2 linked regions of the Drosophila melanogaster genome follow. The protein of the gene in region 1 interacts with the protein of each later gene in a biochemical or structural test. Each region holds a gene or a part of one and is shown in the gene's direction. Other genes may lie near its edges.

Evidence for each region. The genes of interacting proteins can lie anywhere in the genome.
Region 2: the proteins of mud (region 1) and pins form a complex in vitro, tested with the Drosophila melanogaster proteins (2 studies listed by BioGRID).

The regions. Positions count from the first base shown.
Region 1 is NC_004354.4:14,244,104-14,251,907, forward strand, and holds the start of mud (mushroom body defect), read left to right. Parts: upstream 1-3,628; 5' UTR 3,629-4,016; coding exon 4,017-4,055; exon of another isoform or gene 4,056-4,121; coding exon 4,122-4,296; exon of another isoform or gene 4,297-4,432; coding exon 4,433-5,017; exon of another isoform or gene 5,018-5,087; coding exon 5,088-5,194; exon of another isoform or gene 5,195-5,271; coding exon 5,272-5,379; exon of another isoform or gene 5,380-5,541; coding exon 5,542-7,804. Other genes in the region: CG32599 (uncharacterized protein), read left to right, coding at 1,145-1,196, 1,516-1,661, 1,727-2,275.
Region 2 is NT_033777.3:27,580,856-27,588,278, forward strand, and holds pins (partner of inscuteable), read left to right. Parts: upstream 1-1,984; 5' UTR 1,985-2,232; coding exon 2,233-3,519; intron 3,520-3,777; coding exon 3,778-4,467; 3' UTR 4,468-5,521; downstream 5,522-7,423. Other genes in the region: CG5639 (uncharacterized protein), read right to left, coding at 5,831-7,110, 7,179-7,423.

The DNA.
Region 1 (7,804 bases):
AAATATGCCAAATTCGCAAGTTTAGAAACCTGAACTTAATAATTAACTTTTCAGTACTCAATTAAAAATCGAATGACTGTGATCTTTTTCATTCATCTACATATATTACTGAATCGCTTAAAACTAAACAAAACTTGAACAATAACCATATGGACATTCCATGAGTGCTCTCGTTTTTTTTTTTTTTTTTCACCGTGTTGTGATTCATTGGAAACACCTTGATTTACGTGCACGTCATTTACGAATGGATCACTGTGACTTTCAGATTTTCCTCAGCTTTTCCGAGATTTGCAGACGTCTCTCAAAGTTTGTACGACGCCATCGTTTGTGGCGCCATCATTATCGATGGGAATCACTGGAATAGAATGTGTGTCCGATCATAAAATCCGAAATGTTCGTTTAGTTTTCGCCTTAGATCTTTTTGCACATACAGTGGATGTTAAGAATGCATTTGCCATTTAATAGTTAACTGGAAAATGTACAGCAAGTGCAGAAAATGACACTGGAAGAAGCGTGTTTCCAAATTAATTGATTTGAGTTTGACATGCATACGCATTATTTTTTGAAAATTTCCAAACCTATTTAATACAAATTGTATAAAATCAGGCACGCATTTTGCGATCAACAAATAACGAAGCGAAATCAACAAAAGTCCCAGATATACACAAAAAAAAAAAAAATGCCCAAGCGTTTTTGTGTAAATCACGCCATTTTATGAAGTGTAAGATAATCAAATCGGTATTGAGTTTCCCTTTCGGAAACTTTTGTGCAATTAAAAACAAATTAATTGGCATCCAAGTTGATTTAAGCATTTTTGAAATCTTATTTTCAAAATCCAAGGCACTTAACTTTTTGTTATTTGCAAGAAACTATCACTTTTTTCTTTTTGTCCAGCATAGAAATGCACGTAGATTTCTTTGCTTTTACCTATTTGCACTTTTTTTTGCCGTGTATAAGCCTCTATATGCACGGAACGTGAAAATTGTAAACAATTGTTTTTATGGCATCACTCACAAAAACAAAAAGAGAGCCAACCCTGAAAAGCCCTGAAAAATTCTCAATCCAATTTTGCAACTTTGCAAATTGATTGGAATTGGTGACCCCGTTTCTCATATTCCCATATATCCATGTTGTCCTTTTGCAGGAGGAGCGAAAAGCCAATGGACGTCTGGTGGCTGTGATCGTCTGTTTTCTGGGTAAGTTTTTGGGATTTTTGTAATACTACAGTCAGGCCTGCCTAACACAAACCAGCCAAGTGAAAAATATTCACATACATAGGTATAAATTCATAAGTATCTCTTTAATAATGCTTACATGAAAAGATCTTTTAGATTTTTGAGAAAACCATTATTAAAATCATTTTCGAATTCTTAACTGGTAAACAAAACTAAAAACTAAACTAAATTAGAGCACGCAAATCGAATTGCCACCGACTTTCGCATGCTCATTTTGAATTGGTCGTTGTTAGCGAAGCACGACTGTAGCCACGAACTCAACTCAAATCCATTTCCACAGTGCTCTTCCTGGCCGTCTACCATGCCTGCGTCCGGAAGTCGGAGAACTCGCTGGCTGGCGTCCTGGTACCGGCGGGCATCATGCTCTCTTACGGCGCCTGGGTGGTCGTCCTGGCCAAGAGGGACAAGCACAGGCGTGCCATGTTTGTAGGACACACCAAATACGAGGAAAGCCAATGAATGATGCTCAGCGATGCTCTTTCATTTTCCAGGAGCGGCACATCGAGGAGGTGACGCTAAAGAACAAAATCGAGCTGGAGGAGAAGCATGCGCGCCACGCGAAGAAGGCGCAATCGCATCATGGTCACTCCGGCACCGATTCCACGGGCAGTGCCTCCAGTTCGCTGCACTACGTCAACGAGCTGCTGCCCAACGGTGGCGGTGAGCACCGCAAGAAGCAGCGACGCCATCGTCACAAGGAGCGCTCCGTGGAGCGAGATGATCATCATCAACGTAGCCATCAGCGCTCGCATACGCCGGACATTGGCGTGCATCGTGGAGCGCCCAAGAGGCCCAGTTTCCGGCAGAAGCTCTTCGGTCAGACCATCGCCCATGTCAAACTGGTGGAGGCGCAGAGCGATAGCACGGATTCAGCTGGCGCATCTGGTCCGGGTACGAGATCAGGTCGCAGTACGGTCGCCAGTCCAGGTGGCCAGGCCAGTGCTGCGGCCAAGCTCAATCCCGGCGAGAAACGACAGCGACTACAGCGCCTGGACACGTTGCCACTGGCGCAGGTGGTGCGTGTCAGCTCGATTCCGTGAGATATAACCATCTGGATGGATGTACATATGCATGTGGAAGTGGAGTAGTTCTTTCTTTTTTTTTTTTTTTTGGGGGGGGGGGGGCGGAGGCCCGACCTCGCCATTGTGTCGACTAAATAAATGTATTATAAAAAATATAAACAGGAAATTCGCCTTTATAAATAGACGGCAATCAAAAGGAAGGAAATGTTCCGATCTTCGTAACGAAATCAATGCTAAATACGTGAGAATTGTATTGTGCACATAGTTCAGCCCATCTGGCTTTTGAATATTTTCAAAATCGTGTGTTTACAACTTGATTTAAGTGAGTTGTAAAACTAATAGTTATGGAATAGTTTAGTTCGAGATTTTTTGGCGAGGTGTTTTCAAGTTGAAATTCAAGTATTGTAATTATTGATTTTCGATCAAGCTGATGGCTTTCTTTTTGTAACGCTTAATTTAGACAATAGTTTTTGAACCGCTTGTCGTTTTCGCACCACCATATTGTTTATTCTGCCTACTTCCTTACGTTAAAATGTTTGGTTTTTTCTCTGATTTTTTTTTTTTGCTTTACATGTACATCAGCGGTGCATTTCCATTGTTTGTCCGAATTAATGGTGGCGTTATTTTTAACGATCAGCACTATAACTAGATTTTCGGCTACCCTGTGCTCGTGTGCGTGCCCAGAAACGAGGATGGGTGGGTGGCAATTCCGGGCACATTGTTTTCGGTCATTGATTATTGTTATTACAATTTAATAGTTTACATGTGGTGGGCCACACTCGGTCGCTATTGGCCATCGGATTTTGGAATTCCCCGCCAAAATAGAAGCCACTTGGTTGCTTGTTTACTTGGCAGGAAATTCGCATTGTAGACCAGTGCCGCCATCTATGTGTGAGATTGGGGTAAACACAAAAGGCGGTTTCAATTATGGAATTTGCTTAGTTTTTCAGCATAGCGGGATTCAACTAGTTTTTCCATACTTGGAAAATTACATTAGATAATATATATTAATTACATATTAATATATTAATTGATAATTTCAATTGAAAATATCACTATATACTTTGGATACTTTGGTATTAAAGCAACAGGTTATTGCAGTTGGAGCCGTTCCACTAAGGCAGGAAAGCAGTTCGTAACAAAGTAGATTGAATTATTTATCAAATTTCATGTGAAACATTTGTTTCTTGAATTATGCAATATGCCATGGTGGAAACACAAGCCACTTCTTTCGCACAGATATCGATAGCAGAAACGCATCTAGTGGACGCGGCCTGGCTTGCAGCTGGAAAGTATCGATCGCCCGATAACAATACCCGAGCGCACCTCGCATGGCGTCGCGCTGCGGCATTTGAATTAAACGACGCGCCGCCGAAACGAGAAGTTGTTGCATTTTTTCGTATCTAGTTACCTATGTTTTCGTTTGTGGAACTGTCAAAATTGTTTGTTGCCCTGCGGACTTCAGTTTAGTCATTAAATTTTCATTGCTCGTTCGGAGCAGTTGTGCTTCTGGTTGGAAAATACAAAAAAAAAAACAAATATTCGGTTTTCGTGAGCATTTGTGCTAAATATATTTTTTGTTTAATTGCGTTTTCGATCGAAACCCGTTTGTTTCGCGTACATTGTTTTGTGTGCTGTGCCGTGTTCTGGAAAACATCCGTTACTGGATGCCAACAATGATAGTGTGATTAGTCTACGCAGACATTGAGCATACATATACGGGCGCACACACACCCATAAAAACGCACAAAAATTCGCAATGGACACGCGCAGCTGGCGCAAGGTCCTACTCCAGTGGGTATGTAAATCTCGCATTGCGCATCACGCACTGGGAATCATTTAGATTAACCCAATTCTGCGGCAGATTGGCGAGTGCCACTTCATCGAATCGAACTACATTACCTTGGAGCAGTCGGATCTGGACTCCTTCTTTTCGGTCTTCATTCAAAAGATCCAGGAGACGGAAAATGTTAAGGGGAAGAATGAGCTGCAGGATCAGCCCACAGAACAAAGCCCCCTTGTGCAGGAATTCCTAGCACGTAAGTTTTTTTTTACCTATTTTCCTAGTTTCTCATAGGGTATAGGGAAACATTAATAAATAGTGAAGCCTTAGTATGAGAATTTAGCGCACTTCCAACTTCATGAACCCACTAACTTGTAAATTTTCCCATGCAGATAACTATCCCGAGTTCATTGCACAACAGGATGACAAGGAAGTCGATCTGCCTTTGGATTGCCTTTACGTTTACACGCTCCTGTTGCATTACTCGTGCGTTAAGAAGCCCAGCTTGTTCTTTCACAACATCTGCAATAAACTGCCGGAGCTGACACAGACATGCATCGCATCCTTCTTTCGAGAGACCGTGGACAGGCTGTTGACGCGCGAATATCTTAGCCAGGCGATCGCCAACGTTGCAGTTGTTTACCGACAAGGGGTTTCGACCTCAGTCAGCCCATGTCTTCCCAGCAGCAGCCTGAGTCCCGATCCGAGGAGCGATGATGCACCATGCCCATCCACGCCCTCATCGTCATCGTCACAGCCGTCGAGCAGCACGCCACAGTTGCGCAATCATCGCGAACAACTTCGCCTGAATGGCTGCGAAATGCCACCTCCTTCGACCCCGAAAACGGAGCTACTGGAGCAACGCACCAAGGAGCTGCGCGGTATTCGTACCCAGCTGGAGGTGGTGCGCTACGAAAAGGCCTTGCTGGAGGAGCAGCAAATGGAGAAGGACGAGCTCATTAAAGTTCTCAACAAAGGTTAGAATGCTTCGAATGCATTACTTTCATAATTTTTTTACAAGTAATTTCATAATCGTTTGCATTTCAGAGAAAATGATGGCCAAGATGGAACTAGAAAAACTAAGAAACGTGAAGCTAACCGAAGAGCACCACGATAACGAGAGCCACCACATTATGCCATATGAGTTTGAGCATGTAGGTAGACTAGCGCAGATGGTCACAGGTAGCGAGCGGGAGCTATAAACTAATAAAACTTTTAATCCTCATTTCAGATGAAGGGATGCCTTTTAAAGGAAATCGGTCTAAAGGAGAGTCTCATCGCTGAGATTACCGATAAGCTGCATGATTTGCGTGTCGAAAATTCCGAGCTGTCCGAGAAGGTAAGCTACCTGTTCAATTTTATAGGGACTATACTATAAAGAAAATTCCACCGGGTCTTGTGCGAATGTTAGCGAAAAACTAGCAACTGTATAGATTATATTCGTTTACATTCAATTCATAATGAAATCTAATATATGTTATATCTTGCATTCATTAAATAGCTGAATCTGGCAGGAAAACGATTGCTGGAGTATACGGACCGCATTCGATTCCTTGAAAGTCGTGTAGACGACTTGACTCGTATCGTATCGTCCAGGGACGTTATGATCTCCTCTCTGGAGTCCGATAAACAGGAATTGGATAAGTGCCTTAAAGAAGCCCGCGACGACTTGCACAACCGAATCGAGGTCTTAAACGCATCCTCGGATTTACTCGACTGTTCGCTGTCGCCGAACACCACGCCCGAGAATTTGGCCAGTTCCGTGATTGACAAACAGTTGCGCGAGAAGGAGCATGAGAATGCCGAGCTAAAGGAGAAGCTGCTGAATCTGAACAATTCCCAGCGGGAGCTATGTCAGGCCCTTTCAAGTTTCCTTCAGAAGCACAATATCGATCACGAGTTTCCGGTAGAATGGACATCGTCGTCCCTGTTGTCCACCATTTCTGCGATCGAAAGTAAATTTGTTAACACGTTGGAGAAGAGTACGCAAATGAAGAAGGAATGCGACGTTCAGTCTGTGTGCGTCGAAAAACTACTGGAGAAATGCAAGCTGTTATCTGTATCGCTGGGATGCCAGCCAAAAGAGCTAGATGGATTCGAGGCCACAATACCGGAGGCAATGGAGTCGGGTTTCGAATCGAGCCGTGAGTGTGAAACCATTTTGAGTTGTTGTCATATGAAGGTAGTCGATATAGCATCGAAAAACAACGACCTGGAGTTAGACAACGAAAGGCTTAATGATAAATGCGCTGAGCTTAAATCAATAATTGATCGCGGGGATCAACATTTGGCCGATATCAATCTGCAGCTAATCGAGAAGGAAAAGCAGATAAAAGATGTGGGCGCTGAAATTCAGGAGCTGCGCAAAAGGAATATAAACCTTGAAAATATGCTCAGCCAAATTGCAGATAAAGAGGCCAGTGCGGCAAGCCATGCACAGCATTTGAAGCAGTGCGGTGAGCTTTTAAGAGCCAAGTATGAAGTGTGTCGAAATGAACTAATTGCTAAGAACGCGGCCCAAGATGAGTTGGTCCGGATGATGATGGTGCCAGATGGGGAGACCTTAAATGGGCGCGTACGCCAACTGATCGATCTGGAGATGATGCATGATGAACATAACAAGATGTATGCACAGATGCTGAAGCAATTAAATGAACTCAGCGCTAAACATGACAACATGACGCATTCCCATCTAGACTTTGTAAAGAGAACGGAGATCGAATTGGAAACGAAGAATGCACAGATCATGGCATTCGATGAGCATAACAATCATTTTGATCGTTTTCTGACCCGCATCTTTACACTCTTAAGAAGTAGAAATTGTCCGAAATCCACGACCATGGGCTCAGCGACCAACTTTCTGGAATCGATGCATATTGAAAAGCGGTTTGAGAATATTGAAATGTTAATTGAGGGGCAATTGCTTTCGGCTGATGATCTCAAGCGGGAGTTGGATGATCTTCGGTCGAAAAATGAGGAGCTCGCTAAGCAGAACATCAATGGAATAATAAAACGCAATAAATTCATCACTTCTCTAGAGGTCAACACCGAAAAAGTGAAGCAATACATAACAGATCTAGAGGAAGAAGCTTTCAAGAGAAAGCAAAAGGTAGTCCAGCTGGAAAATACTCTAAGCAAGGAGCAAAGCAATGCGAAAGAAATGGCACAGAGGTTAGACATAGCACAGCAGGAAATAAAGGACTACCATGTGGAAGCCATTAGGTTTATCAATACCATTAGGGATCGCCTTCAGCAAGATTTCAATGGCGTAAACACCCCACAGCAGCTGGGCACTTGTATGACCGAATTTTTAAAAATGTATGACCAGATGGAGGTGCGATACGAGGAGTCCTCGTCGTTGGTAGAAAAGCTCACGGAATCTCAAGCAAAATTGGAGATGCAAGTGGCTGAGCTACAGGTAGAGCTAGAAAATAAGGATACCAACCAGCATTCGGGTGCCTTGATAAAACAGCTAAACGACACCATCCAAAACCTAGAGAAGGTCAACGCAAAGTTAAGCGAGGACAACACTGTATCGCATACCGTGCATTCAAAGTTGAATGAGAGTTTGTTAAAAGCGCAAAAAGAGTTAGACCTTCGTGCGAAAATAATCGAAAATCTGGAGGCTTCGGAAAGGAACCTCTCCATGAAGTTGTGCGAGCTGAAAGATCTGAAAAACAAACTGAAGTCATCTGATGAAAAAATTGCCCAGATAAAGGAAACGTATGAAGAACAGATTAAAGCTCTTCAAGCTAAATGTGACA
Region 2 (7,423 bases), on another chromosome or scaffold:
AGAGAGACACACACACGCACGCGGCACAAAATCGATATTCTAAAAATAATATAAGTAAAAAATATATATGCTCATACGAATTCTAACCGATTGCGTGCGTGTATTTGTGTGTGCGTGTGTGTGTGCGGGCTGGCTGGATTGCGAGCGTAATTACATATTTATTTATTTATTAAAACTTTTGAAACACCGAATTGCGTCTGGGGATTTAGCCGCTTACTGCGCACTTGAAAAATTTGCATTCGCCTTGGAAATTTGGCTTTAATTTTGCACTCGGCTTTGTTTAGTTGCCTTTTATTTCTCCTTCTTTATTCGGGCTTGGAATTTTCGCTGCAGAATTTATTAAAAACCGACTGCGTATGTGTGTATATAAAAGATTTCTATATCTTTTGCAACCGACGACGAAGGCGGCATACGGCAACTGTGGCGATATTTTTTTCCTTCGTCCGACTCTCGCGCTCTCTTTTCGTTTTCGGCTTGCTCTCTCTGGCACATGGGTATATACTATACGCGAGAGGGAGCAGGCACACACAAACGAAAAGCCTGCCTCCAATTGATTAGTATTAGTACTTCGAATAGTATTACTATTGTTATTGTTTTCATCTAGCTGACTTTCAATTGTTTGGTGCTGATATTTAGCTAGATTCCCCAGGTGCGATTACTCATTTGGCTTTTGTTTCGAGACCACTGTGCCAGATTTCTGGGTGAGAGCGTGGTGAGTTTCGTTTCAACTCACCACAGAAACTGTTGTTGCGCGTCGCGCTCTCTATTTAGGCGGCTCTCTCCCACACACGGTCACACTACAGTCCCAAAAATGAATGAAAATACCACAAAATACCATCCAACGCACGGGCACACCGGCGAACTGAAAGACGCCGCTGCTTTCAAGTTTTTCTCCCGTTTTTATTTCCTATCGAGGGCGATAACCAAACAAGGCTATCGTTATCGACCTCTCGCTCGCTCTGTATCCCTCCTTCCCTGTCGCACTCGCTCTCCTTTTGTGTGGCTAATTTTTTCCTTTTAGTCCTTTTTTCGGTTGCCTTCGTGCAGAAATTCCCTGCTTTATGTAATTTAGAACACAATGTTTGCGTTGCACTGTTGGCCGACTGCAGCTGAAAACCGCACAAAAAAAGCGACGCACACACACACCTTCGAGCATCCGGACTTCCAATTTGCACTGCTTTTCTAACAGTCTATCGCGCACGCACTGCCACAATTTCACCCGCTTATCGCGCCGCAATATGGGACGTTCGCTTTTCAATCGATTTTGGTAACCGGCAGGTGCGCTTTATGCGAGAATTACGAATTTTCTCCAGCGGCAACTAGAATCGTTCACACAGACACCGTAGAAGTGACGCCATCTTTGAAGCGATTAGTGTTGCAAAGCGCGTCTGCAAAAGTGCTGGCTACCAACTACGGTTGATAGGGATGAGGGCTATGGCTTGTTGACCGAAAATGATAAATGTTAACTATGCCAATATATTTTAGATTTTACTAATACGTTACAAAAATAAGAAAAGACTATGATAAAATTGTGTTTTAGCTTGGCTCATAAGTATTGATCCTTTATAAGCTATGGTCTTGCAGTGGCTAACATTTCTCAAATTAGGGCAACCATCTGATAAGATTTCTAATTCGAATTCTAATAAATGAATTTAAACTGCTTTTTCTTAAAGTTAAAAAAAAATTAGTTTTAAATCAAACGGCATGCATACATTAACCATCAAACAATGTAATTATATATATAATATTACCAATTGGGCTACTAAATATTGCTGATATGTAAGCTATGGTCATGAGGTAAAGGCATATTATTTATATAATTTTCATAGTATCTTTGTTGTAGGGGAAAAATAACAAGTAATTTAAAATTGTTCAATTGACTTAAAACAAAATATAACAGATATTATTTTTAAATCCAACGACATACCATATAAAGTTGGTATTTCTTTCTAATCTGCTTGGTATTCTCATCGACCCCAATCGGTCACACTGGTCGTGAATCAGAAACGCACTAATTAGTCAAAAAAACGGTACAAAAGATCGCTTAATTGCTGAAATTTCACCTGTCGCAGTTAAGTTTACCCACCAGCAGTTCAAAACCAGCCAGAGGCTAGCTAAAAACCCCAAAGATCGACCCCAAAACATCGCCGCAAAGTGGACAACTCCCAGTTTTCAGAGCACCTGCCCCTCAAAAAGGAGCATCGCGACAAAAAGGCGAGACTTCGCAGCAGAATGTCCTCGCTCTCTGCGTCCGCGGAGAATGTGTCCAGTTTGGGACTGGGATCGGGCGGAGGAGGAACTACTTCCCACGACGGCAACTCCCAGCAGGGTTCCGGATCCGACGGAGGATCCAGTATGTGCCTGGAACTGGCCCTCGAGGGTGAACGCCTCTGCAAGGCGGGTGACTGCCGGGCGGGCGTGGCCTTCTTCCAGGCGGCCATTCAGGCCGGAACCGAGGATCTTCGCACTCTGTCCGCCATCTACTCCCAGCTGGGCAACGCCTACTTCTACCTAGGCGACTACAACAAGGCGATGCAGTACCACAAACACGATCTTACGCTGGCCAAGAGCATGAACGACCGACTGGGCGAGGCCAAGTCCTCTGGCAATCTGGGCAACACCCTCAAGGTAATGGGTCGCTTCGACGAGGCGGCCATCTGTTGCGAGAGGCACCTAACGCTGGCCAGGCAGCTGGGAGATCGTCTGTCCGAGGGACGCGCTCTTTACAACCTAGGAAATGTCTACCACGCCAAGGGCAAGCACTTGGGTCAGAGAAACCCTGGAAAGTTCGGCGACGATGTCAAGGAGGCGCTCACCCGTGCCGTGGAGTTTTACCAGGAGAATCTGAAGCTCATGCGGGATCTGGGTGATCGTGGTGCTCAAGGTCGAGCTTGTGGTAATCTGGGAAATACCTACTACCTACTAGGCGATTTCCAAGCGGCCATTGAGCATCATCAGGAGCGACTGCGCATTGCCAGAGAGTTTGGTGATCGCGCGGCTGAGCGAAGGGCCAACAGTAATCTTGGCAACTCGCACATATTCCTGGGACAATTCGAGGACGCCGCCGAACACTACAAACGCACCTTGGCTTTGGCCGTTGAGTTGGGTGAACGCGAAGTGGAGGCCCAGAGTTGCTACAGCTTGGGCAACACCTACACGTTGCTGCACGAGTTCAACACTGCCATCGAGTATCACAATCGACACTTGGCCATTGCCCAGGAGTTGGGCGATCGAATTGGTGAGGCCAGGGCCTGCTGGTCACTGGGCAATGCCCACTCTGCCATCGGTGGTCATGAGCGGGCCCTAAAGTATGCGGAACAGCATCTTCAACTGGCCAAGGAGCTGCACGACCCGGTGGGTGAAAGCACAGCCAGGGTGAACATCTCCGATCTACGAAAGCTACTCGGAATGCCCGACTCCGAGCCTTCACCCACCGAGGAGGAGGCTCGATCCACCGCCTCCGATCACTCGGCCAGCGGAAATCAGTCGGATGGATCGGAGAACTCGCAAGGAAGAATGGTAAGAGAAACGAGCTGCAACAACATAAAGCAATATGAATGATTCCTGAGATATTTTTAAACAATACTGGCAGTCCGTTTGTTCTATTTTTCGAAGTGGACACCTGCTGCTTGCAGTGTTTGCCCCTTTATGTTAGCGTAAATATTTATACTTTGTACCAAAACACATCGTTAAACTTTCGATTCGAGCACATGCTGAGAAATTGAAACCCCTGAAAGATACATAGCTAAATTTATTACTTTAATTGCTTCCCGTCAGGTGCGCGTTCGTCGCCAGAGCATGGAGCAGTTGGACCTGATCAAGATCACTCCCGATGGAAAGCGCATGCAGGAGGAAAAGCTACGAGCACAGGCGACCAGGAAAGCCAAAGACGACGACTTTTTCGAGATGCTTTCGCGGTCGCAGTCGAAGCGCATGGATGACCAGCGCTGTTCGATCAAGGTGAATCCCGCCGGAGCTCCGGCGGTGGCCACTGGCGCCACGCGTAAGCCGCTTGTGCAGCAGAACTCGTTGTTCGTGGATCCCACCAACCTGCCTGGCCTCAAGTCACCGTCGTCGGCGAATCCATCAGCCATTGGACATGGGCCGCTCGCCAGGAGCGCCACCACTACGCAGCAGCCCGATGATGACTTCCTAGACATGCTTATGCGCTGCCAAGGCTCGCGTCTGGAGGAGCAGCGGTCCGAGTTACCGCGCCCCAATGTCACCATGGACGCAGAGGCGGAGGCACCACCGCGATCCGTCCCAGAGGCTGCTGTTCCAGGGGCACCACGCGGACAGACCGGACGTGGAGCTACCGTCCCCGATGAGGACTTCTTCTCACTGATCATGAAGGTCCAGAGCGGTCGCATGGAGGATCAGCGCGCCTCGATTCCGTTCCGAAATGCCAACAATAACAACAATAGCCGCAGCAACAACAACGGTTCAGCCGGCGGAGCTGGAAAGTAGAGAGTTGTAGTCCAAAAAGCTGAAGTCCAACCAAACAATCCTATAAATCCATCCCTGGCCGCAGCTCCTGACTCATTTCGTTGTAAGCCCATCTTGCGGCCATTTATTCAGTCGTTTATTTTCGGAAATTGGCTGCTAAACATTTTGTTCTTTTACAAGATTTATATATACACACGTACACGAAAAGCATTAATTTATGAATAGCAACTAACCACGTAACCAAATATTAGGGGTGTATAGGGCCTCGTCTACACGAGCAGAGGGAGGAACCTCCAACGGATGCACACACTCATCCACTCATGACTCATTACATACTCCACCATGAGCTGGCCATGATATTGAACGATATGCACTCGAGTCTTACGATATTAACGTTTTAATTGCATGTGCAAGTAGTTTAAGCCGGATAATACTAATGTACTAATCCAATTTGCTCAATAGACGGAACCAAGTCTTCTCTACGATCAACGATCTTACATTCTCGTAGCCACATTCAGCTAAATATTAAGTTTTAAGTCCATCGAACCCACTCTACATGTAAGCAATGCATTTTCCAAATCAAAATCTAACTACAGATATATCCAATTGTAACTATGAGTATTGCATTTTTCTATCAATCTATCGATCGATCTAAACTCTGAACATATTTTAAGCCACTTACAATTTTTGTTAGTATATTAACAAGACACAAAGAATAGCAGCTCGGAATTCCATTTGAGGACCGGCGCTTGTGCAAGCACTTAGCATACGATATACACAACCAATCATACTTACACATATACAAGAAACATATGAACAATATATATATAGTTATACCAATGTCTAACGATTTGCCTCTTCGGGTATTGTTCTACACAATATATACAATACAAGTTATATATACACAAAACAAAAACACAAAACTGAGTTCGAGTTGTACGAAATGAAGCCAAAATTTATTAATGTTATACTTTTTTGTAGCACGAGATCTACGGGATCTGCGAATGAAAGATACCATACAGGCGGACAATTATGTCGTGTATTATTAAATATTAAAATCAAAAAATGTTTGCTGACACGTTCGTGATTTTTATTCCAAGATAAGGGTTTTAGATTCAGATACTTAAAGATCATATCAGTATGTGACAAAAAAAAAAAAAAGACTATTTATTCGACTTTAAAGCTTTATTCATAAATTAATCGTCTTAGGTTGCTAGAACATATGCGATAAGTATTCGAAAGTGGGTTCCCTCTAGTCGCACTCCCCTTTTGGCTTAGTTGGGGCAGAATCAAGGCCTCTGATCTCTTCTCCCCCCTAAAAGTAGATCTTAAATTTGCTCTGTTTTATTTACAAATTGATTTAGATAACTCAACAACGGAATGCCTACGCGGCGAACCCCTTCTTGCTGTCCATGTCGGCGGCCAGCACGAAAATGGGTGCGGAGTAGTCCACAGGCTTGTCGCCTCCTTCGCCCTTCAAATAGGGATTCGCCGCCTTGAGGTTCCGGTTTCGCTTCAGCATGACATAGACCACAAATATGCTGACCAGGAAGGCGGAACTGGTGGCCATTATGAACAGCACCAGCTGGATGGACTCGTCCTGGGCGGTGGCCGCCTGAGCCACTGGGACATGAGCACTGCGGTGCACAAAGTGGGAGCGGGTCAAGTCCGGCCGGAAGTGACCGCCCGCCAGGCGGAAGTCGCCGGCGGAAATTGCCGCCTCGATGGCAAAGGCCAAGTCCACCTTGGCCTCGTTGTGCAGCTCAAAACGGACAATAGCGGATCCATCGAAGTTCTCTTGGACGCGCAAGTTTTCGACGGACTCACCGCCGAGTAGCTGCTGCAGTTCCCGCCGGATGGTGTCGTAGGCATTCCTTATACTCCGGCCACTGCTGTTGGTCAGATGGAGTTCGATGGCCACCGCCTCTATCGGAACATGACTGCAGCGACGATCGCCAGCTCCAAAGACGTGGGTGGACTGTAGCTGGTTGCCGGCCGCATCGACGCACCAGCAACTTCTGCCGTTGCACTGCAGCGGGCGGAAGGCTCCTGCCTCATCGCAACTGACCGGGAATGGTGCCGTTTTCGACAGAGCTCGACAACGTGTGGTCTTCAGCTCCATGGGTTTCAGGGTGGCCTGCTCCACGGATAGCTGAGAGTCCAGCAGTGAGTTCGCCAGCTCTAGTACTCTCTCCGTAACACTGGACTCCGCTGCACTGGCGGTGGCAGGCAGCACCCTAGCCTCCAGCTCATCGAAGTCCAGATCCTCGCTAGCGACATCATTCAGTTGGGTGAGCTGAGCAATCAGTTGCTCCATCAGAGGATCGCCAGAATCGAATGCCTTGCGGTTACGAGCCTGTCGACTATTGCATATGGGTTCGCTCTCCCGGGTGAGGGTTCCCTTTAGAGGAGCACCCTTCTTGTCCGCACACCAGCAAACTCCGGGCGCTTCCTCGCCAGCGGATGCAGCTGGTTCCGATGCAAAGGCGCGACTAACGATCTCCGTGTGCCTGTCCATGGGTTGGGGCTGCTTGCCCAAGCATTGCACGGGACTCCAGTGGCCAGTGACTGGGTCACATCTTGGTTGGAACCAAACTGAGGAGTGTCCTGTTCGCTGGGCAGCCAGGTTGTTCTTGAGCTTCAGGCGCTCGCATTGAGTGAGCACTGGGGACGAGACGAATAAATGGATTAACGAGGAGTTCCAAAACCAAAAGCGGAGGCTACCATCTTACCTGGACACACGGAGTTGCAGGCGAGTTCGTTGTGGAAGAGGTTCTTAGTTTGGCAGGCGGGTGCCTCGGAGTCGATGACCACGGGTAGGCACTTGTTTGCCTTGGGACTGAACCTATAGCGCGTGCTATTTTTCTCCGATTTGCCAGTGGCCAGACAACCATTATCCATGGACTCGAAGCAAACATCACGGGTCTTGGAGCAGCAAACACCACGGTTATTGACCGGATTCAGCTGACAGGAGTGG